3 linked regions of the Schizosaccharomyces pombe genome follow. The protein of the gene in region 1 interacts with the protein of each later gene in a biochemical or structural test. Each region holds a gene or a part of one and is shown in the gene's direction. Other genes may lie near its edges. The genes, in order: cdm1, cdc6 and cdc1.

What was found.
Region 2: the proteins of cdm1 (region 1) and cdc6 form a complex in vitro, tested with the Schizosaccharomyces pombe proteins (one study listed by BioGRID).
Region 3: the proteins of cdm1 (region 1) and cdc1 form a complex in vitro, tested with the Schizosaccharomyces pombe proteins (one study listed by BioGRID).

Annotation. Positions count from the first base shown.
Region 1 is NC_003423.3:2,303,670-2,309,323, reverse strand, and holds cdm1 (DNA polymerase delta subunit Cdm1), read left to right. Parts: upstream 1-2,950; 5' UTR 2,951-3,083; coding exon 3,084-3,566; 3' UTR 3,567-3,597; downstream 3,598-5,654. Other genes in the region: chaperonin-containing T-complex alpha subunit Cct1, read right to left, coding at 1-1,393, 1,638-1,723, 1,762-1,809, 1,858-1,888; protein Sad1, read right to left, coding at 3,598-5,142. UniProt on the Schizosaccharomyces pombe protein: Appears to have a role in the stabilization of the DNA polymerase delta complex.
Region 2 is NC_003423.3:2,740,435-2,750,331, forward strand, and holds cdc6 (DNA polymerase delta catalytic subunit Cdc6), read left to right. Parts: upstream 1-3,327; 5' UTR 3,328-3,408; coding exon 3,409-3,637; intron 3,638-3,689; coding exon 3,690-6,721; 3' UTR 6,722-6,756; coding exon of another isoform or gene 6,757-7,893; 3' UTR 7,894-8,162; downstream 8,163-9,897. Other genes in the region: Ras guanine nucleotide exchange factor efc25, read left to right, coding at 1-2,731; hen1 (S-adenosylmethionine-dependent methyltransferase), read right to left, coding at 6,757-7,893; ribonuclease H Rnh1, read right to left, coding at 8,357-9,083, 9,268-9,335. UniProt on the Schizosaccharomyces pombe protein: Catalytic component of DNA polymerase delta (DNA polymerase III) which participates in chromosomal DNA replication.
Region 3 is NC_003424.3:4,011,743-4,017,057, forward strand, and holds cdc1 (DNA polymerase delta small subunit Cdc1), read left to right. Parts: upstream 1-3,307; coding exon 3,308-4,448; exon of another isoform or gene 4,449-4,497; coding exon 4,498-4,745; 3' UTR 4,746-4,815; downstream 4,816-5,315. Other genes in the region: SPOM_SPAC27E2.14 (uncharacterized protein), read right to left, coding at 780-869, 921-935; msm1 (methionine--tRNA (Met) ligase), read right to left, coding at 4,836-5,315.

The DNA of each region.
Region 1 (5,654 bases):
ACTTAGACATGGATGGCTCAAGAACACCAGCCTTAACATTATCACGAATTACGCCATTAAGTAAATCAAGACCATAATTTTTGTATCCCCGTTTCTTAACATCTGTAACCTCAGCATTTTGACTGGCTGCGTGATAAGCACGCAACTTAGCTGTCAGTTCAGTAGAGTCTTTGGCGGCATTGACGGCCAAAGTTCTGGGAATAATTAACAAAGCTTGTGCAAACTCAGCAATTGCAAGTTGCTCACGAGAGCCCAAAGAGGTAGCAAAATTTTCCAAGTAAATGCTCAGAGCTGTTTCCACAGCGCCGCCACCAGGAACGACTTTGCCGCTCTCAAGAGTGCGTTTGACGACGCTTAAAGAATCATGCATTGAACGCTCCATTTCATCTAAAGAGTATTCATTGGGGCCTCGCAGAACAATTGATGCAGACGAATAAGCTTTGGTTCCTTTGACAAGAATACATTCATCATCCGAAAATTTTTCTTGAACAACCTCTTCAGCCGAGCCCAAGTAGGAACTTTCAAAGGTTTCTTCACCCTCTAAATTTGACAATGAACTGAGTAAGGTAGCACCGGAAGCCTTGGCGATACGTCTCAAATCTTCCTTTTTGCATCTACGAACAGCCATTGCGCCAGCTTCAATAATGGATTTCAAACAGAGATCATCAATGCCCTTTGTGGTAAGAATAACATTGGCACCCGCATTGAGAATTTTTTTGACGCGTTCCAGCGTAATCATAACTTCTCGTTCACGGATCTTTTCAAGTTGATCGGGGTCATCAATCGTCACATGCACACCTAACGCCATTTTAGTTTTTTGCAAATCCATATCCAAAACAGCAATTTTAGCATTCTGAACACGAGTTTTCATAGCTTGACTGGCAATGGTACAATTTAAAGCATAACCTTTAACCAGGACGGACTCTCGAGAACTTTTGCCATGTGCCTTCAAAATGTTGACAGCTTTAACAGGGTAACGGGTCTCACCCTTAGAATTAGAAGTTTTGACGGAAAGCATTGCGTCAACAGCCATGGTTGAAAAAAAGTCTGAATCATTACCAATAATTTTTGAAGACATACTGGTTTTGGCAACGTTAATAAGACTCTCTTTTCCCAAACTATCTACGCTGCAGCTCAAGACATCTGTCATAAATTTTACGGCTTCACGGATAGCAAGTCGATAACCGGTTATAATAGTAGTGGGGTGAATTTTGTTTTTGACAAGCTCATTCGCACGTCTCAACAATTCAGCCGCAATAATGACAACACTAGTAGTTCCATCACCTACTTCTTTGTCTTGTTGTTGAGCTAATTCAACCAGCACTTTACCAGCAGGATGTTCAACATCCAATAATGATAAAATGGTAGCACCATCGTTTGTAACAGTAACATCCTAATACAAGTTAGATAGAAATAAAAGAAAGTAAGAAAAAATATAATAAAAGATGAACTATAATGGCAGGAATACTTATTAATTCGATTCACAATATAAGGTTGACTCTTCCCTGCCAATTAAGATTTCCTTAAATGCGAGAAGATTACAACACTAGCGTATCAAATCAATAAATATTGGTTAAAGGCCAATATCCCCCATTATTGTCTAAAATTTTCTTTTCTTCACGAGGTCTTTAACATACACCAATATCGTCAACGAGCATTTTGTCTAACCCGACAGGACCCAAGGATGATTTGACGACATTCGCAATTGCGGTCGTTGCCAAAACTAAAATGTTAAAAGTTATGAAAAGAAAATTAACATACCATTTTGGTTTCGTACGTCCTCTCCACTGATTTTTTCACCACTCAAAACTACAACATGTTAATAATTTACCATCCAGCGCAATATTGGATGCTTACAAAGAGTGGATTCTCTCGGTGCTTGAAACATTTCAGCTAGATTCGATGTTCTCCTCTAAACTGATTAACAATCTTTGTTTACACGTTTGGCAGACGTCGAGGGAGGAAGGTTCTTTGAAATGTACTAAAAGCATTCAAACCCTCTAAGTGTTACCTCATATAGCGTAATGTTACCCTCTTGGTGGAAACTAAAATTCTGCAACACAAACTACCTGTGCACTATTTGCAGCATAGGGACAATTAACAAATTCAATAATTTTGATTTACGAAGGATGTCTTTCACGTTTGAAAGCATTATGTAAATTTATCGACTGCATTAAAAAATATAACAATTTGGTTGACTACACTGTATTTAATGATAGTGCAGTTTAATCATTGAGAAAGCCCGGTCAGTTTGTTTACCACTGTATAACTAACAGTTTAAAAGCCCTTAAAAAAAGACAACTTAATGAAACTAGATACTTAAATTACTAAAAGCTGTAAGGGAATTGAAGTTTCAACTGTCTTTGTGCTTCAATTGCAGTGTAAAAAGTTACGCTGTTTTAGCAAAGCACAAAAGACAAATTTTGCAATACTCAAAGCTATTTAACTATAAATTTTTTAAATTTTGAAAATGTTAATAAGTATATCTATTTGCATTTACGAAATTGCCTATTTTAAATCGGTAAAGACCAAAACCCTTTTTAGAAACGTATTAAAGATATGTTAGGAAGGCTGGCAAGTGATTCAATTGCATGACCAAGGCTGGATTAAGACAACACGTATTGCTAAAATACTTGTATCTAATTATGAAATTTCCACAATACTATCTGAACTAATAACGAGTATTGTTTACTTCTTGTTTGCTCCAACAACGAACTAGAAATACCGAAATAGGGGTCGTCAAGAAGTTTCTATTTTAATAATTATCAATAATGCACTTAAATACTTGGACCTAAATGAATAATAATATATATGAAGGCTGATATATGTATAACGATAAAGAACGAGCGGATGGCTGGATACTTATTTTCTCGTCAGCGTGACGCATTTTAAACATCGCTATAGTAGTCATCTAAAGTTATATATACATATTAAAAGTACACTTGCAACCAAATGTACTTTTTCAGAGATTTCTTTTGGCCAAACAAACTAATGCTCTAAATTGAGTAAACACGAAAAAGAATTGGATTTATAGTGCACCTTTCATTCTAGTACCGCAGTGTTACAGAATTATATCACGCAGTATGAAGAAGCGCACTACTCAAGCGAAAAAATCAGGGCAAAACACTAATATTCGCGACGTGTTTCCACATGTAGTTCGAAGTAATTCAAGTCAATCCCACATAGGGAAGAAAGTGAGTTCTGAACAGTCGCCTACACCCGATGTTACAATTACAACCAAAACCTTGGATGAGAGAATTAAAGAAGACGATGAGCTTTCAAAAGAGGTAGAAGAGGCTTGGAATCAAATTATGGCTGAAAGGATTAGTGAACCAATACATTGTGAAAATATAACCAAAGTAGAGTTCATTTTGCATCACTTTGACACTACGGCAAGATATGGACCATATCTTGGTATGACAAGGATGCAACGCTGGAAACGTGCAAAAAACTTCAATTTAAATCCTCCAGAAACAGTGGGAAAGATATTGATGCTCGAGGAAGCAGATGAGGAAAATCGAAAAAGAGAATCGCTCTTTTATGATCTTCAAACCATTCCAGGCTAGATTATTTTTATATCTTACATTTTGTAGGTCTTTAAGATGAATCTTGACCCGTATTCTCTGCAGTACTTTCGGCTTTCTCACCTAAAGAAGGTATTGGTTGTTCGTCTGCATTGGGTACAGTCCCATGAACTCGAACTTGATACAAGCATGTGTAATTGGGATTTCCCCAGTTGCTTTTTATTTTTAAGATCACATTCTGTATCGGTTCAGCGACAATATAATTGGAGGATTCAAACGAAAAAGTTTGAATAGAGTCTTCCGTTAAAGAATATCTCGCCTTTCCCAACAATACAAACATCTTGCTGGACATTCCCTGAACCCACAACTCAAAGTCCTTGGGAGCGCTAGAAAGATCATGAGCAATCTTGTGCTGAACGTGCTCTATTGTGACATTGGTTACATATACAGGGCGTGATAGGGAAATTCCTAATTGTCCCTCTGAACCTTGAAAGCTCCAACACATCGCAACTGCGTTGTTGGGAGTTAATGCTATGCTAGGTTCGTGTCCTCTAACAACGAGCGAATCAAAGAAATAGGAGGTAAATCGTGGTATGAATGCAGATGGTCGTCTCACATAGCGTTTTGAGGTTAAGGCAGGTAGTACTTCCGCTCCTGTTGAGAGCAATGCAAAATTCGGCATGGAAACCGGATCGGTCAAGTATTTTCGAACCGTAGATTCGATGAAGAACTTCCAATCGTCATTTAGTTCAACTTCAAATGGGACCGATGATTTGTAATTAGACATCTCCTCCTTTAGCGACTGTTTTAATTGCTCTACTTTTTGTTGTAAAATCTTGTCAAATTCCTTTTTTGTAATTAAATCTCCCGTCGAATAATCGAATTCCTCATTGCCGCCAACTTTAGAAGGTGAATCTGTGAAGTCTTTAATAATATCTGGCTTTAAACTTGTTTTGGTGTCATTGGATGCAGGAGGAATGTTTGGTACGGGCGAATTAGATGGTTGGGAATTATCTGATGAAAATGATCTTGAGTAAAATTCTTGACCCTTGTGAAGTAGAGTAATTATTAGGAGAGTCGAAAAGAGAGTGATACCGAACCAAAGTAATGGTTTAAATTTTGAGGAATAAAATTGAGATTTCCTTGTAGATCTTTGATTCATCGGGTACCTAAAACTGGCATTTGTTGCGGTGGTATCCTCGTTCAAGCTATACCCTTCATCATCACTTTCCTCGTCGATGCTGTTTTCGTATTCTTCATTGACAAACTCTTCATCATCTCCATCTGATTCATAGAATACATTCGTCGAAGCTTCGTGTCCATTTTTCACTACGTTTTCAAATTCTTCGTTATCAGATTCCTCTTGCTCGTATCGAATATTAGAGTGGTAAGCCTGTTCGAAATTGGGAGCTGGAAATCTTTGTTTAGGAGTAATTGATTCAATGGACACCCTGGTAGGAGGGGACCTTATCTTTGTATAGCGAAGTTTATGCATTTTGGAGGCCAAATCAGCCGTATTTTGATGAATCTGAGCAGAGTTCGCTCCTAACGTCGACCAAGCTGGATGAGCGCCATTTTGACGCTCTCTTTTCCCTCCAACCGGTGTATTAGTAAACATTGATGTATAAAAGGCTATTTGAAAATTAAAAGAAAAATATACAAACGAATCAGTGATAAATAAATATGTAAAAAGAGAGACAAAAATTGAAAAGAGAGTATTGGAAGGCGAGAATTTGAATTAGTGTTCGTATTCAAAAAAGTGAAGCTTAAGTAGGATTCTGTAATTGAATGCCTTTTTGATCGCTTTATGCGAATGTATAAATTATTAATAACAGACGAATTATCGTTGACGCCTTTTTTATGTGAAAACAGATACCTATACACACAATGTATGTAATTGATCCTACCCTAGCAGAGTATACCTTTCTTGAGGTATCATTCCAATTCCAATACTGGAAAATTCCTTCACAAACAATAAAGGATACAATACCAAGATAAACACACTAGAAATGGACGGTACGAAGATTGACTGCTGAGAAAGAGTTTTGTTGTGTTTACGGTAAGTGTATACACTAAGAATTTACTACGTTATATATCGCTGACAATCGATAAATATTCATAACATAATAT
Region 2 (9,897 bases), 440 kb from region 1:
TCCTTCCTCTGATAAATCATCGACTTCTCCCTTTCCATATTTGAAGGGCTCCTTCGATGATCGTTTCTCTTCAACCCATTCCCTTACACGACAACCTTCACCTCGTTCACCGTTAACTCCTTTAAAAGGAAATACCCGAGCTTCTCCAGAAATTCGCTATGTAAGCGATTTCACTCCTCCCTCATCTCCCTTTGAAGACATGCAAGCGTCTGTTCATTCTTTGCCCTTGTCTGGATGTTCGATTGGTCCTGTGCGTACTAACCATTCTTCATCTTTGTCAAATTCATCTAACTCATTACTACAAACCGAGTCCTCCTTGCGACCCAATTCTTCTTTCGTAAATAGTCCTTTTTTCCCCCTTCCTTCTTCTGATGATCTTTTCCTTAATGACAGAGTCATTAATCTCTTTCTTTTTTATGAAAAATTCTCTTATTTGTTCACTCATTTACTTTCTGCTATAAAATCTAGAGATGCGTTGAGCATTCCATCACTCGTTCTTTCTCTCCAAGAAGAACTCTTCAATCTCTGCCAGCAGACCGGGACTTTTTATCTTCTCCAACACAATCTCTTGCAAAACTTTGAGTTTGAAAACCCCATTAAATTACATTTTGATAAGATAATTCCCTACTTTTCGAGATTAACTGTACTGACCTTCTCGAATCGTGCTTTTATTTTTCCAGACCACACTTTTCCCCGCTTACAGCAAAGCGCTGAGGATTTTCTGTACCATTTACAATTTTTCTTTACTCTGTGTGCAAATAATAGTTTATACCTTAGTCGCTTTTGTTACTACCCTTCTTTTGTTCCCAATACTCCTTTCGGGGGCAAATGGACCAACAATGGTTTGTCTGCTGTTTCATCAGCATATCGAACACGCTTGCTTGAGCCTTGCCTACCCGAACTCGACAAGTGCGTATGGTTTTTATTGAAAAATTGTGATGAATTTATTGAAAACTTCTCTGATTTTGCCGATGAAGAGTATGTCTTTGAAATTTGTTCCACAATTACTAGCCACTCTGAACAAATCTTCAACAAACTTGAAAGTTGGGATATGTCGATATACTTTGATAAAGATTTAAGTGAGTGCGAGCAAGCTACAAACTTTGCAGTCCAATCTTACTTTGTTACAAAGCAACGTTGTTATGATTTATTAACTGATCTGGTTTGTTCATCTCAAGACTTGATGATGGAGCACTCAAACGATTTTTCTACAATGCCTACAATGATTGCTTCCATTGCTGTGGCTTTCCAAACTTTATTTGAAAATGTTTGTGATTTTCTTAAAGTACGTGCTGCTCTCGTCGATGAGATGCAGGAATTAGCAACAAAAGAGTTTGAAAACAAGTTTTCAAATGCAAACACAGCAAAAGATGACGAACCGGCTCGTCAAACTAACAAAGGTACTACTAGAATTTCTAGAAGTTCTGATTTTACCGCTGTTAGCGAGATGAGCAAGGATACCTTAACACTTGGCAGAAACTCTTTGCAATCAATTTTGATGCTGGATAATTTGTTAACCAATAAAGTTGTGCAAAGCGATAACAATGTTAAAGGTGGAACTTTACCGGCCCTCGTGCATTACCTTGTCCAGAACGTTCACTTGAACAAAGATTTTCGCCATTCGTTTCTTTTGACTTATAAAACGTTCACTACCCCCCAGGAATTGTTTACGCTTCTTGTCATTCTGTTTCACGAGTTACCGCCACCAGGATTAGATGCTACAGCATATAGTTCTTGGGAAAAGGGAGATAATTTTGTTACCAAGAAGAACGTCTGCACCGTTATGAATTTGTGGGTTCAAAAATACTTTTTTGAAGATTTAAAAGCCCGTAACACTCTTTATTTGATTTCGGAGATGCGTACCTTTTTACGTGACCATGTTGTTCCATCTTTTCATATTGGCAGTGTAATTTTATCGGAAATTGACAATCTCTGGACTGAAGAGCCTCCAGATTCGTTAACCCAACGCCTATTATCTTCTCCCATGGCTACTTTTATTTCTTTAAACGTATATGCTTATACTCCTGAAGAATTTGCTTCCCAGATGACATTATTGGAGTTTGATTATCTAAAGCAGATTCCTTCGAGGGAATGGATATTTAGAAGCTGGGTTAGTCGCGATTCTCGCAGCGCTGTCCGAAATTATATAAACTTTTCGAATTGTTTCACCTATTGGATAATCAATTGTATTTTAGAGAAAAAGAATACCAAAGCTCGTACAGCAGTAATATCCTTTTTTATACAAACTGCCTACAAGTGCTTGTCCCTCCAAAACTTTTCCACTCTAATGTCTATTGTTTCTGCCTTAAATTCTGCTCCTATTTATCGTTTACATGCAGCGTACAAACTTGTTAAAGCTGAAGACATAATATGTCTGTCTGGTTTACGTGAAATCGTGGAAACAAAGAAAAATTTCAGTACTTATCGTGCTTTACTTCGCAAGGCTGAACTTCCTTGCGTACCGTTTTTGGGTGTCATATTAAGTGACTTGACTTTTATCGATGAAGGTAACCCCGATGTTCTTGATTCATCTCCACATCTGTTAAGTTTTAATAAGCGGCATCGACTTGCCGATGTCGTCGCAGATGTGTGCCGATTCCAATCCTCCTCTTACGAAATGCAATCTAATACTGATCTTCAAAGCTATATTTTACATCGGTGTCGCTTTGTTAACCAAGATCTGTCCTATTTATTTGATAAATCACTCTCACTTGAACCTCGTTCTTCTTAAATCTTATTTTTTACCCCTCTCTTAAAATCCCGTTTTGGTTTTAGCCCGTATAGGGTTCGCTCTTTTAGTTGTCTTTCAGACACAGCTTTTAATCTATCTCTTTACGTATTTACTGTTAATGTTATCGTATTGGTTTAACTGACATGACCTTGATGTTGTATTATTCATTAGGCGTTGGTAAACAAAGTCTCAGAATAAATTATCGGAATTGTCGGTTTGTAGGCTGATGACTCTGCTCAGTTTTCTTAATTCCTATTGCTTGGAATCTAGTTCTTTTTGTTTTTGGACAATTGCGTCCTTTTTATTACTAATATCTTCCATTAATAATAAATTAGTCTTTTGTTATGCCCAAGAATACATTAAGTAGTGGTTTATGTAGCTTGATGGAGATTGGTATAAACTTGTATATTTGATTTCTTTCTCCATCGTAATTTGACAGCTAACCTATTTAATGTGGTTTTACCTTTTCAGCAGTTGACACTCATACCAAAATTTATTGGTGTACGCTTTGAACTTACCTACAAGATATTCGCCTAAGTACCTATTTGTTGTTACCTACAAAACCCTTTTAGTTGCTCGTCTTCCTACCAAAAACCAAGAGCATGTAAGCTTGGTGTCTTCCTTATTTACCATTTTCTGTTCTAATTTTCATAATAAATAAAAAATTAATTACTAGAATGACAGATAGGTCTTCAAATGAGGGCGTCGTGTTAAATAAAGAAAACTATCCATTTCCCCGAAGAAATGGTTCAATTCATGGCGAAATTACAGATGTCAAACGGCGACGTTTAAGCGAAAGAAATGGATATGGTGATAAAAAGGGCTCATCCTCAAAAGAAAAAACTTCATCTTTTGAGGATGAGCTGGCTGAATACGCTTCACAATTGGACCAAGATGAAATAAAATGTAAGGTTTTTTGGATAGCTAACCATTTATTAGTATACTGACTCCTTGATAGCTTCAAAAGATCAGCAGTGGCAACGACCAGCTTTACCTGCAATAAATCCTGAGAAGGATGATATTTATTTTCAGCAAATCGATAGTGAGGAGTTCACAGAAGGATCTGTACCTTCAATTCGTTTGTTTGGTGTTACTGACAATGGAAACAGCATCCTTGTTCATGTTGTGGGATTCCTTCCGTACTTTTATGTTAAAGCCCCGGTTGGATTTCGACCTGAGATGCTAGAACGTTTCACACAAGATTTAGATGCTACTTGTAATGGGGGTGTGATCGATCATTGCATTATAGAGATGAAGGAAAATTTATATGGATTTCAGGGAAATGAAAAATCTCCATTCATTAAAATCTTTACTACTAACCCTCGTATATTATCTCGAGCACGAAATGTATTTGAAAGAGGAGAATTCAACTTCGAAGAGCTTTTCCCTGTTGGTGTCGGTGTCACTACTTTTGAGAGCAATACGCAATATCTTCTTAGATTCATGATTGACTGTGATGTTGTTGGTATGAATTGGATTCATCTTCCTGCTTCAAAATATCAATTTCGTTACCAGAATCGAGTTTCTAATTGTCAAATTGAAGCTTGGATTAATTACAAAGACTTGATCAGTCTTCCAGCTGAAGGCCAGTGGTCTAAAATGGCCCCACTGAGGATCATGAGCTTTGATATTGAATGCGCAGGTCGCAAAGGCGTTTTTCCTGATCCCTCTATTGACCCTGTAATTCAAATTGCAAGTATAGTAACGCAGTATGGAGACTCCACTCCTTTTGTTCGTAATGTCTTTTGTGTTGATACATGCTCACAAATCGTTGGAACACAAGTATATGAATTTCAAAATCAGGCTGAAATGCTTTCAAGTTGGTCAAAATTTGTTCGTGATGTTGACCCAGATGTTTTAATTGGGTACAACATCTGCAACTTTGATATCCCTTACCTCTTGGATCGAGCAAAAAGCTTACGCATTCACAATTTCCCATTACTTGGCCGTATTCATAATTTTTTTTCTGTCGCAAAGGAAACCACGTTTTCAAGTAAAGCATATGGTACTCGTGAAAGCAAAACCACTAGTATTCCTGGGCGTTTGCAGCTTGATATGTTACAAGTAATGCAGCGTGATTTTAAGCTTCGATCTTACTCTTTAAATGCAGTCTGCTCTCAGTTTCTAGGCGAGCAAAAAGAAGATGTACACTATTCTATCATCACTGACTTGCAAAATGGCACTGCCGATTCTAGAAGACGTTTAGCTATTTATTGTCTGAAAGATGCATATTTACCCCAACGCTTAATGGACAAATTAATGTGTTTTGTTAACTATACTGAAATGGCAAGAGTAACAGGTGTACCGTTTAATTTTCTTCTTGCTAGAGGCCAACAGATTAAAGTTATTTCTCAATTGTTTCGCAAAGCTCTTCAACATGACCTAGTTGTTCCAAATATACGTGTAAATGGAACAGATGAGCAATATGAAGGTGCTACAGTCATTGAACCGATTAAAGGATACTATGATACCCCTATTGCAACACTGGATTTTAGTTCACTTTATCCTTCGATTATGCAAGCCCATAATTTATGCTATACGACATTACTTGACTCAAATACTGCAGAATTATTAAAACTTAAGCAAGATGTTGACTACTCAGTGACTCCGAACGGAGATTATTTCGTTAAACCACATGTTCGTAAAGGACTACTCCCTATTATCTTAGCTGATTTACTTAATGCACGTAAGAAAGCAAAAGCAGATCTAAAAAAGGAAACGGACCCATTCAAAAAGGCTGTTTTGGATGGTAGACAGCTAGCTTTAAAAGTAAGTGCTAATTCAGTATATGGATTTACTGGTGCTACCAACGGACGTTTGCCGTGTTTAGCAATTTCTTCTTCTGTTACCTCTTATGGTCGACAAATGATTGAAAAAACCAAGGATGTTGTAGAAAAGAGATACAGAATTGAGAATGGATACTCTCACGATGCAGTTGTAATCTATGGTGACACTGATTCTGTTATGGTTAAGTTTGGCGTTAAAACGTTACCTGAAGCCATGAAATTAGGAGAGGAAGCAGCTAATTATGTTTCAGACCAGTTTCCGAATCCTATTAAACTGGAGTTTGAGAAAGTGTACTTTCCATATCTTTTAATTTCCAAAAAACGTTATGCAGGATTATTTTGGACTCGTACAGATACTTATGATAAAATGGACTCTAAAGGAATAGAAACTGTCAGAAGAGATAACTGTCCTCTAGTATCTTATGTGATTGACACAGCTTTGAGAAAAATGTTAATTGATCAGGATGTAGAGGGTGCACAGTTGTTTACAAAAAAAGTTATTTCCGATTTGTTACAAAACAAAATTGATATGTCACAACTTGTAATCACAAAGGCATTATCAAAAACTGATTATGCTGCCAAAATGGCACACGTTGAATTGGCTGAGCGAATGCGTAAACGAGATGCTGGCTCCGCCCCAGCCATAGGAGATCGCGTTGCATACGTTATTATTAAAGGTGCACAAGGTGATCAATTTTATATGAGGTCGGAGGACCCTATATATGTATTGGAAAATAACATTCCTATTGATGCAAAATATTATTTGGAAAATCAACTCTCCAAACCTTTGCTTAGAATTTTTGAGCCTATTCTTGGTGAAAAAGCTAGCTCTTTACTTCATGGTGACCATACTCGGACGATTTCCATGGCAGCCCCCAGTGTTGGAGGAATAATGAAATTCGCAGTAAAGGTTGAGACCTGTCTTGGATGCAAAGCTCCCATAAAAAAAGGTAAAACTGCTTTATGTGAGAATTGTCTAAATAGATCGGCGGAACTGTATCAACGTCAGGTTGCTCAAGTGAATGATTTAGAAGTTCGTTTTGCTCGCTTATGGACTCAATGTCAGCGATGCCAAGGAAGTATGCATCAAGACGTCATTTGTACCAGTAGAGACTGCCCCATATTTTATATGCGAATTGCAGAACACAAGAAACTTCAGCAATCTGTTGACTTACTGAAAAGATTTGATGAAATGTCCTGGTGAAAAAGATGGATGTTTTTAATTACTAAATGTGTATATCAAACGTAATGATGAAAAGTTATAATAAAAATTCTACTTTTCTTAAGTACTTTTGCAATGCGAAAACTAAACGAGTTTGCCAAAGCTATACCTTTATGTTTGCTTTTTTTTAATTCAGGACAATATGATAAGTAAATTGAATCATCATAATGGAAGGCATGTCGAATGAGAGGCGAAGACTCCCAGATAAACAAGAAAGGTAATTTTACTGACAAAGCACACTTGCCAGCAATAACCTGGAATAAAAGTAAACAGTGACGTCCAAATAAATGATCAAAAAATGCTTTTTTCAGAAGATTCATAAATTGCTGCACTGTTGGAGGAAATAGTTGCTCCATAAATGGGTATGTAATCTTTTTGTAAAGAAGGATGCTTGAATTTTGGTCTTTTAAGAAGCAATGAGAAGCAGCATTGTTTTTAGATTGATGAAATACTGCGATTTGGGTGCAGAAACCGTAAGTAGATGATGGGCGAAAATGTAACAAATCGTCACCATCTATTAGATCATTTAGCAAACCACAGCCCGTAAATTCAACAGTATACTCTGGGTATCTTTTACAAATTTTATAAGCCCATTTAGCAAACTCTTTTCGATCCCATTCAAAAACGTGTTCAGGATGTCTAAAATTGGTAGAAGTACGAGATGATATACTACTTGTCAAGGTTGATAGTTTCTCAAAGATTGTGTTAAATTCAAAATTCGGAGTTGACACTACGCAAACATTGGGCTTCAAGTTTCCAAAAACAAGTTTTTCAAAGGCTAAAATCTCTGCAACTTGACAATGCTCAATAAACTCTGAAGCTACAACCGCATCAACATGTTTATAATGAGTAAAATCTTTAATATTACCAAGCAATAATTCAATATGTAGCGGTCGCCAACGTAGTTGTAAAAAGTCTTCGGTTCTAACCTGTAAAGCCTCAGTAGCTCTTTCAATACTTTGTTCGTTAATATCAATACCGGCCAGAAATTCTATAGGCACTTGATCATTGCAAGGTACTAAATATGATAGAAAACGAGCATCTCCACATCCAATGTCTAACAAAGATCGCACAGGGAAGCCTCCTTGAAGTATTTTAAATAATTTCCTTCGACGCTGTACATGCAAAGGTGGGTAAAAGCTAGAGACACCCATTGTCTAAACTCAAAGTATTTTTGGTACACTTTCTTCACGTTAGTCAAATAACTACCTATTAACTGTGAATGTTCGTTTCAAAACCACTATTTAAGCCTTTTCAAATTCATTACGAAGCGAATTGTTATTAATTCTTTGCTAAGTCCATTGCAATATGATTTCGATGACTGCCGTTAAGACACCGAACCAAATTTAATTGAAAAGGGAATTGTTGACTAGTGCGAAGTGTCATTTTCAACGTTAAATAATAAAATTATCTTAGCTCCGAATCTATACTTTTCAATTTCCTCTTTAAAATTGTTATAATAGCATGATATTTAATTACAATAAAATATGTAGCATTATGCAAAACGAGAACAAAAAAAGCACATACAACCAGCGAAGAGTAGACGAAAATTATACGGCAAATTTCAAAAGAATGTACCTATATCCATTTTTTACAGCGCTCATCATAGATGACCATTTACTCAGAAGCTCCTCGCCGAGCAAGCATATCGGCTTGTTGATTACCGTAATCGGTACTGTGTCCTTTCACGTACTCTAGCGAAACATTTCTGTCACTCATCAAATCTGAAGCGCGGTTGATCAAATCCAAATTTTTTACAGGTTGTGAATTGCTAGTCTTAAAGTCATTTTTCTTCCATTTAGGCAGCCATGTGGTTAGTGACTTAATGGAATAATTGCTGTCAGAGCGGATGGTCAAATCGCCAGATGTATTTTCAAGGGCTAGGATTATGGCTTGCAATTCCGCACGATTGTTGGTTTGCTCTTCCCCAGCCAACGGTACTGAAATATTTCTTGGGTCATCATTTCCGAAAAAAACTCCACAGCCAGCAACAGCTCCTTTTTTCCCATTTCGCAAACTAGAACCGTCAGCATAGACGACCTGTCGATCCGAGCACGCAATTGATTTTTCATGAGTGTCATTCGAAAATATTTCAATATCTTTTTCGGTACTATAACTTCTAGAAATTTTCTTTCTATATTTATCGGAGTGTCTAGCAGAGTAATTTGAGGAACTAGAAGAATATGGAGAGTACCCATAACTTGTTGTACTGCGGCGATATGGGCCAGAAGACGAGGAGTAGCGACTTCCTTCGGTCCTGCAAAATTCCTGAGCAGCCTCATAGCTGTCAAATTTCTTGTAGCGATTACCTCCATAACCTTTCACCTGATCCGACGCCTCATCCCTAAAAATTAGTAAGAGTTTGTTAAACAACAAGGTGTATCCATCAAGGAAATGTTAATAAGAGATCATCTTGAAAAAACCGATTCAGATTGAATTGAAGCAAAGCATACGACCGTATCGAAACTTGCTTAACGTGAAACTTATATTTAACAACGAAACCATTTTCTTGAGATACGCAGTCTTACCATGTACTATATATACCAGTATTTCGACCACGCGCTACTGCATAGTATGCACGCTTATTTCCACCCATTTCGTAATGCGAAGATTCAAAAATAGCTTTAAAATAGTAAAACTTAGTAAAACTTGGGAGTTTTTCCCAAAACTTTGCAAAAATACTTGTAGTTGACAAATTGAGCTGTAGTCTTATGAGTTATTGAAAATAGTGCAGAAAAAAGAAGGATTTGGATTTATAAATTTATATTAATTTGTAAAAGAGTTCAATTGACGATTAATAATGGTAGAGCATCAGGAAATGTCACATATCTGGACTACTGCAGTACGATACATAATAAAACGGGTTTGCTTATTTACTAGCTGCATAATCTCTGCACACTATATTACGGTAAGCTAGTTAGATCTCCGCGACTGTTATACCGCCTGACATTAAAATTAATACACAATTGATAGTATATTTTATTAGTTAAAAGCTCCTTAAATATAGAATACTCATTTTATGTCCTTAGCTCATTTAATGTAGTCTAATTTCAAACAAGCAGAAAAATGTATTGTTTGTTTAGTAATAATTGTTTAAGTCATTTTACCTTTTTAAGATTATACTTTCATAAAGAATCCTCATCTCTGTTGGCCTCTGA
Region 3 (5,315 bases), on another chromosome or scaffold:
ATGTGTAGTGGAAGAAAATTTTTATTTTCCTTCTTTCTTTTTCGCTTGACGAAACTTGTGTGTGTGTAAACGAGCTCGGTTTCATCGACCCAGCTGAAAACTGGCTACTTTTTTAGGGTACATTATTACATACAAAAGTTTCTTGCTTTCTTTTCTTTTTAACACATAATACCGAACTTGCAAATAGCTACTAGCGAGACCGTTATACGGCCAGTCAAGTCAACGCAAATGCTCATCATATACACGTAAAATATCATCAATTGGTTTGAGCCCAACGCAATAATGACTGCGAATGTTTGCTGTTAGATAGAACATTCCTTTTACTTTTTTTTTACTTTTACGGAAAAAGTATGTAGAAAGGCAAAGAAGGAGTTCTTTACACTCACTCGCAAAATTCCAATTCCACTTTCAATTGCAAAAAAAAATGCAATCCACAATTAAACAACCTCTAAGGAGAATACAGAAATCATCGCTTCCCACCTAATATATCTCACAGCGCATCCTAACGAATACAGTACCAAATTCAATAAAAAGACAACTAAAGAACGAGGATCAAATACGGTACTGCGCTACATCTCATAGCCGAGGTATTCTAAATAGATGCCAGTTAAGGTAAAATAAGCTTCCAAAAATGCAACTTAAAAAAGAATAGATTGTTGAAATGAAAAGTATACTTCTACAAAAAGGATGTTGGGAATAATTCTGTCATACCATACCGTGAATGTCGCAGAATGTTTCAATTTCAGTAGCACTGGCATTTTATCTTTTCTGACTTATTTTCAGTCCGGCTGTTCCCTTCTCTTTTGGTGTCCCTGTTGTCTTGGACAATTTGTCACCCCAAGGACCCTTGTACTTGGTTGTTTAAACAACTAGCTCGTTAGATTGGAATTTGCTTTTCGGGAATTCTGGGACTTGCTTACTCTCCGTAACCTCATTTCTTTTCTCCTGTCTCTTGCATTTCACACACCAATCCAAACAAGTTCAGCGTGAGGACTGCTTTAACATCCGTGATCGAGCCTAGACGGTTGTCCCAATGTTTAACAAGGAGCTCGATGTACTTTTTTATTTGGTCCGTTGACTTTCCGCAAACATGCAGTGAGAGAATACGGAAGTGAAGAGAATTTCGGTAATGTATCGCACGCACATATAGGAACAAGAACAATTCATATCCATCTATGTCTCTTCCGGTTTATCTGAATGATTTGTTGCTTTCTATTAATTCGTTAACCAAGCAACCACGAGGCCCCATCATTCTGCCAAATTGACTTTCACAATCATTGCACAACTATTGCTTCAAGCTCCCTACAAGGTATCCAGTGAGTATCAATATTTTAGCAGCATCGATTTGTTACTTACTGTTTGGAAAAAAATCGGGGCAGATGAGCACAAACAAAAAGCAACAAAACTCTGAAATTTTTATATAAAACATGGATTCTCAAACTCCGATCCCACAAAATCCCTCTACTGCTTTAGTTTAACCTCAGGGGAAGCGGAAACCGACAACTGTCCGCAGAACCGTTATTGGCTCGTTTGTTCCAAACTCTAGCAGTGCGAAAGTGAAATTTTTACAGTATGCAGGCAGGTCCTTCTTGCAAGACACTATAAAGTAAAAGTTTTTTAAACAATTCGACATTCCGGCGAATGTGAAAATGTAACTGTGTGAAATGTTGACTATACAAGTGCATTAAGCAAAAGATCTCATCGTAATTTTCGATCTTCAATTTATCAAACTTTCAACCGTTTTTAAACCGTATGACCTTTTAATACGTAAACAGTTTCTCATTTTTTTTATGTTTTACTGCATTAATCACACACAATAAGATTTTATTTCCATTTCATTCAAGTTGCCAAGTTATTTCTATTTAGTATATTAACAACTAAAACACAACTGGCTGGCTATGCAAGTAATTATTATTCTCTAACATAGAGATTCTTATTTTTTTTGGTACACAAGTTTATGAGTCGTTAAAACCTTTTTAAATCGTGCAACATTGATTCATCTCAGTATACTCGATTATCCCTGTGTTCGATATCCCGCAGCTGTAGCCGATACTGAATGTTAACAGTCCACAGTCTATTTATAGCTAGCTCTCTGATATCGGACAACAGGCAATACCGCTTCATTGACCTCTCGTGACAAGCGGCTTTTTTATAAAGGATGTATTGATATCTTTGAAGAAGAAGAAAATCGGCAAGTTTTTCATTTTACTTTAAACATTTGAATTTGGTTTTGCTATTCTTGCTTTTCCTTCTACAATACTTTTCCATATGGGGTAATAGTGTGACCGATCAACATTGCGTTATTTAATATTCAGATTTCAACGGAATAAAATAAAACCTCAATTTAAATTAATGTAGTTTTGATATACATCTTTAATAAGTAATATAGTAAGATACAGAAATCACCTTAACCATTTCTAGGGCACTATGTTGGCCTACCTTTCCTCCTATTAATTAACATAATGTTATTAATTTACAATCATCAAATAAATCGAAAACCCACTTTTTATGCTATAGGAAAGGGTTTGTAGTTCATTTACTTCGTTGGGGAATTTGCTTCTTTTACTTTTGTGTGATAAAACTCGATAGACTAAATATATGGATTCATCATGATTGTTCAAGGTTGAGAAAAATGTTAATTGTATGAAACGAAATAAACCCACATGATGTTTGTTCATCCTCAATTAGTAAACATTCACCTTTATTGAGCTTCTTTCTCTTTTCGTCAAGTTTACCTCTTTGTTTACATTTAAAAAAAGATGTTCTTCAAACACTTTATTGTTGTAGGTAACAACAGCTAGTCATGTTAGGAACCACGACTTTCTCATATACAACGTATTCTTACTTGTTGATCTGCTGCATCCAACTCCTTTGCTTATTCGAACCTTCTAAACCTGGTTCCATTCCATGAAATTGATTCCCCTTAACCTTGCATAGCACACCTTTGAAGTTCCTTACTCTTTACATATGCTGCTTGTGTAAATTAGTCAATAACATTTAAAGAACTGATTTTATTGAAAAAACAACAAAAGCGTTATTATATTTATTCCTCTTTTTTTTAAACAGGTGTTTTGGGGCCGTTCATAGGTTTTTTGGGAAATCATATAAATATATATATATATATATATATATTTTTTTCCGCACATTTACTTGCAATACTCGCTCGTTTTAGTAATTGCATGAATCGTAGACAACTCTTCACTCTCCATTGTTGTGAAATTTTTCGTGGAGCATCTCGATTTAATATCCTGACTACTCCTTTGGTAAGTGTTTAACTTACCTAACTGTATATATTTACAAAATAATCATGGTTGAAGTCAGACATTCAATTCCTTGTGAAGAAACTAAACGCTTGGAGCTTAGTTTAAGTCAGCAAACGTATAGTCAACAGTACGCCAGCATCTATTTCGCCCGACTTACCGCTCTTCGACCCAGAATCACAGAAGCCGCTTCAAAAAAATGGCCGGATAAACAGCGATTGGAACGCGTTTTAGATGTTAAGTCAGATGAAGACTGTTGGGTTGTCGCTACCGCTTATATGACTACAGCTCTTAAGCCAAACGTTATGAACGATGTCACACAACTTCATACAATTGTCACCACTACTGAAGAATCTCCGTATGTTAGCCCAGAAGATGCTGCTTCAGGTGATATAGAATATGCTCTTGAGGATGACTATGGCCGTATAGATTGTAGCGGAAGCTTTTTGTATGACGCTGGCGTTGTTACAGGAGTTGTTCTTGCAGTTTTGGGCCATGAAGATGAACAAGGTCGTTTCGTTGTCGTTGACGTTTGTTTTCCAGGCATCTTCTCTCATTCCATTCCAATGACTACAGATGAATCGCAAGCTCAACCAGAGTACATTGCGGCAGTCAGTGGCTTAGGTCTCTCAAATGACGGCATAGAAGGCATTCAAGTTCATCAGCTTGTAGATTTCCTAAGAGGAACACTTCCACATGTCTCTTCCTTTTCCCCTTCCTCCATCAAAAGGCTAATTATTCTCGGAAATTGCTTAGCACCTTCTATAGAAATTGCCGACTCCGCTTCTGCGTCCGTGCCCATTGGCAAGAAAAAAGTAAAAAGATATGGCTATGACACGTCTGCTTACAATCCAAATCCCACCTTCCAACTAGATAATTTTCTTGATCAAGTGTGTTCCAGCATAGATGTCACTTTAATGCCTGGTCCTTATGATTACAGTTCAACTATCCTTCCTCAACAGCCTTTGCATCCCGCTTTACTTACTAAATCAAAAGTTTGGTTGGGATCTTCTTTACAAACAGTTACGAATCCCACTTGGCTTTCTCTTGGCAATCATTTTGTGTTGGCTACTAGCGGCCAAAACATTAATGATCTCCGAAAATATCATCCCAAAAAATCTTCACTTCAATGCATGGAAAACACTTTACTATGGAATCATATCACACCTACCAGCCCTGATACCTTATGTAAGTAATCTGTACATTTTTCAAACGATATATTTGCTAATGATTTTAGGGTGCTATCCTTTCACCGACAAAGATACATTTGTAATGGAGGAAATGCCTGATCTATATCTTTGTGGTAATCAACCGAAATTTGGCTGCAAAACAGTCATTAATGAGGGAAACAGAATACAATTGGTTTCCGTTCCCGAATTTCGTAAGACTGGTGTACTTGTTCTCATAAATATGCATACGCTCAACGTAGAAATTATTCAATTCCGCCCCATGTCAGTCAAAGCAGAGACTCCAATTACTTCTTAATGCAAAATATCTTGAATATTTAATCATGTATTTATTAAATAAATAAGTTTTTTCTTACTGTTGTCATCATAATTATCTGATCTACACGTCTCATTGAGTTCTTTTGTCAAACAAATGAGAATTATTACCACTGTGGAACGTGAACTCCGTAGGTTCAAAAACGTTAGTTGCATTCTGTAGGGAGCGCTGGTTTTTAGGAATTCCTAATTGGTCTAATAACTCAGTCGACTTGGTTGGCATTATAGGTTGTAGGAGAATTCCGCTAATGCGTAGGCTGTGAGCTACTAACATTAAAGTGTCAATCTTTTCTTGAGAATCATCTGATAATTTCCAAGGTTCTTTCAATTGAAAAAGCTTAGTGACTCTTCTTAAAACAGACTGAACAAGATTAATAACCTCGTAAACACACCCACCATCTATGCTTTGCGCGCAAACAACAGGAAGTTCTATAAGTTCGTGTACAATATCTTCGTATTCTGTAAAATCATCCTTTTTATGCCATTGCTTCTGTATTTCATTGGAAATGAACAGTTTCTTCGATTGCAATCGAGAAAGTAGCACACCTAAAGA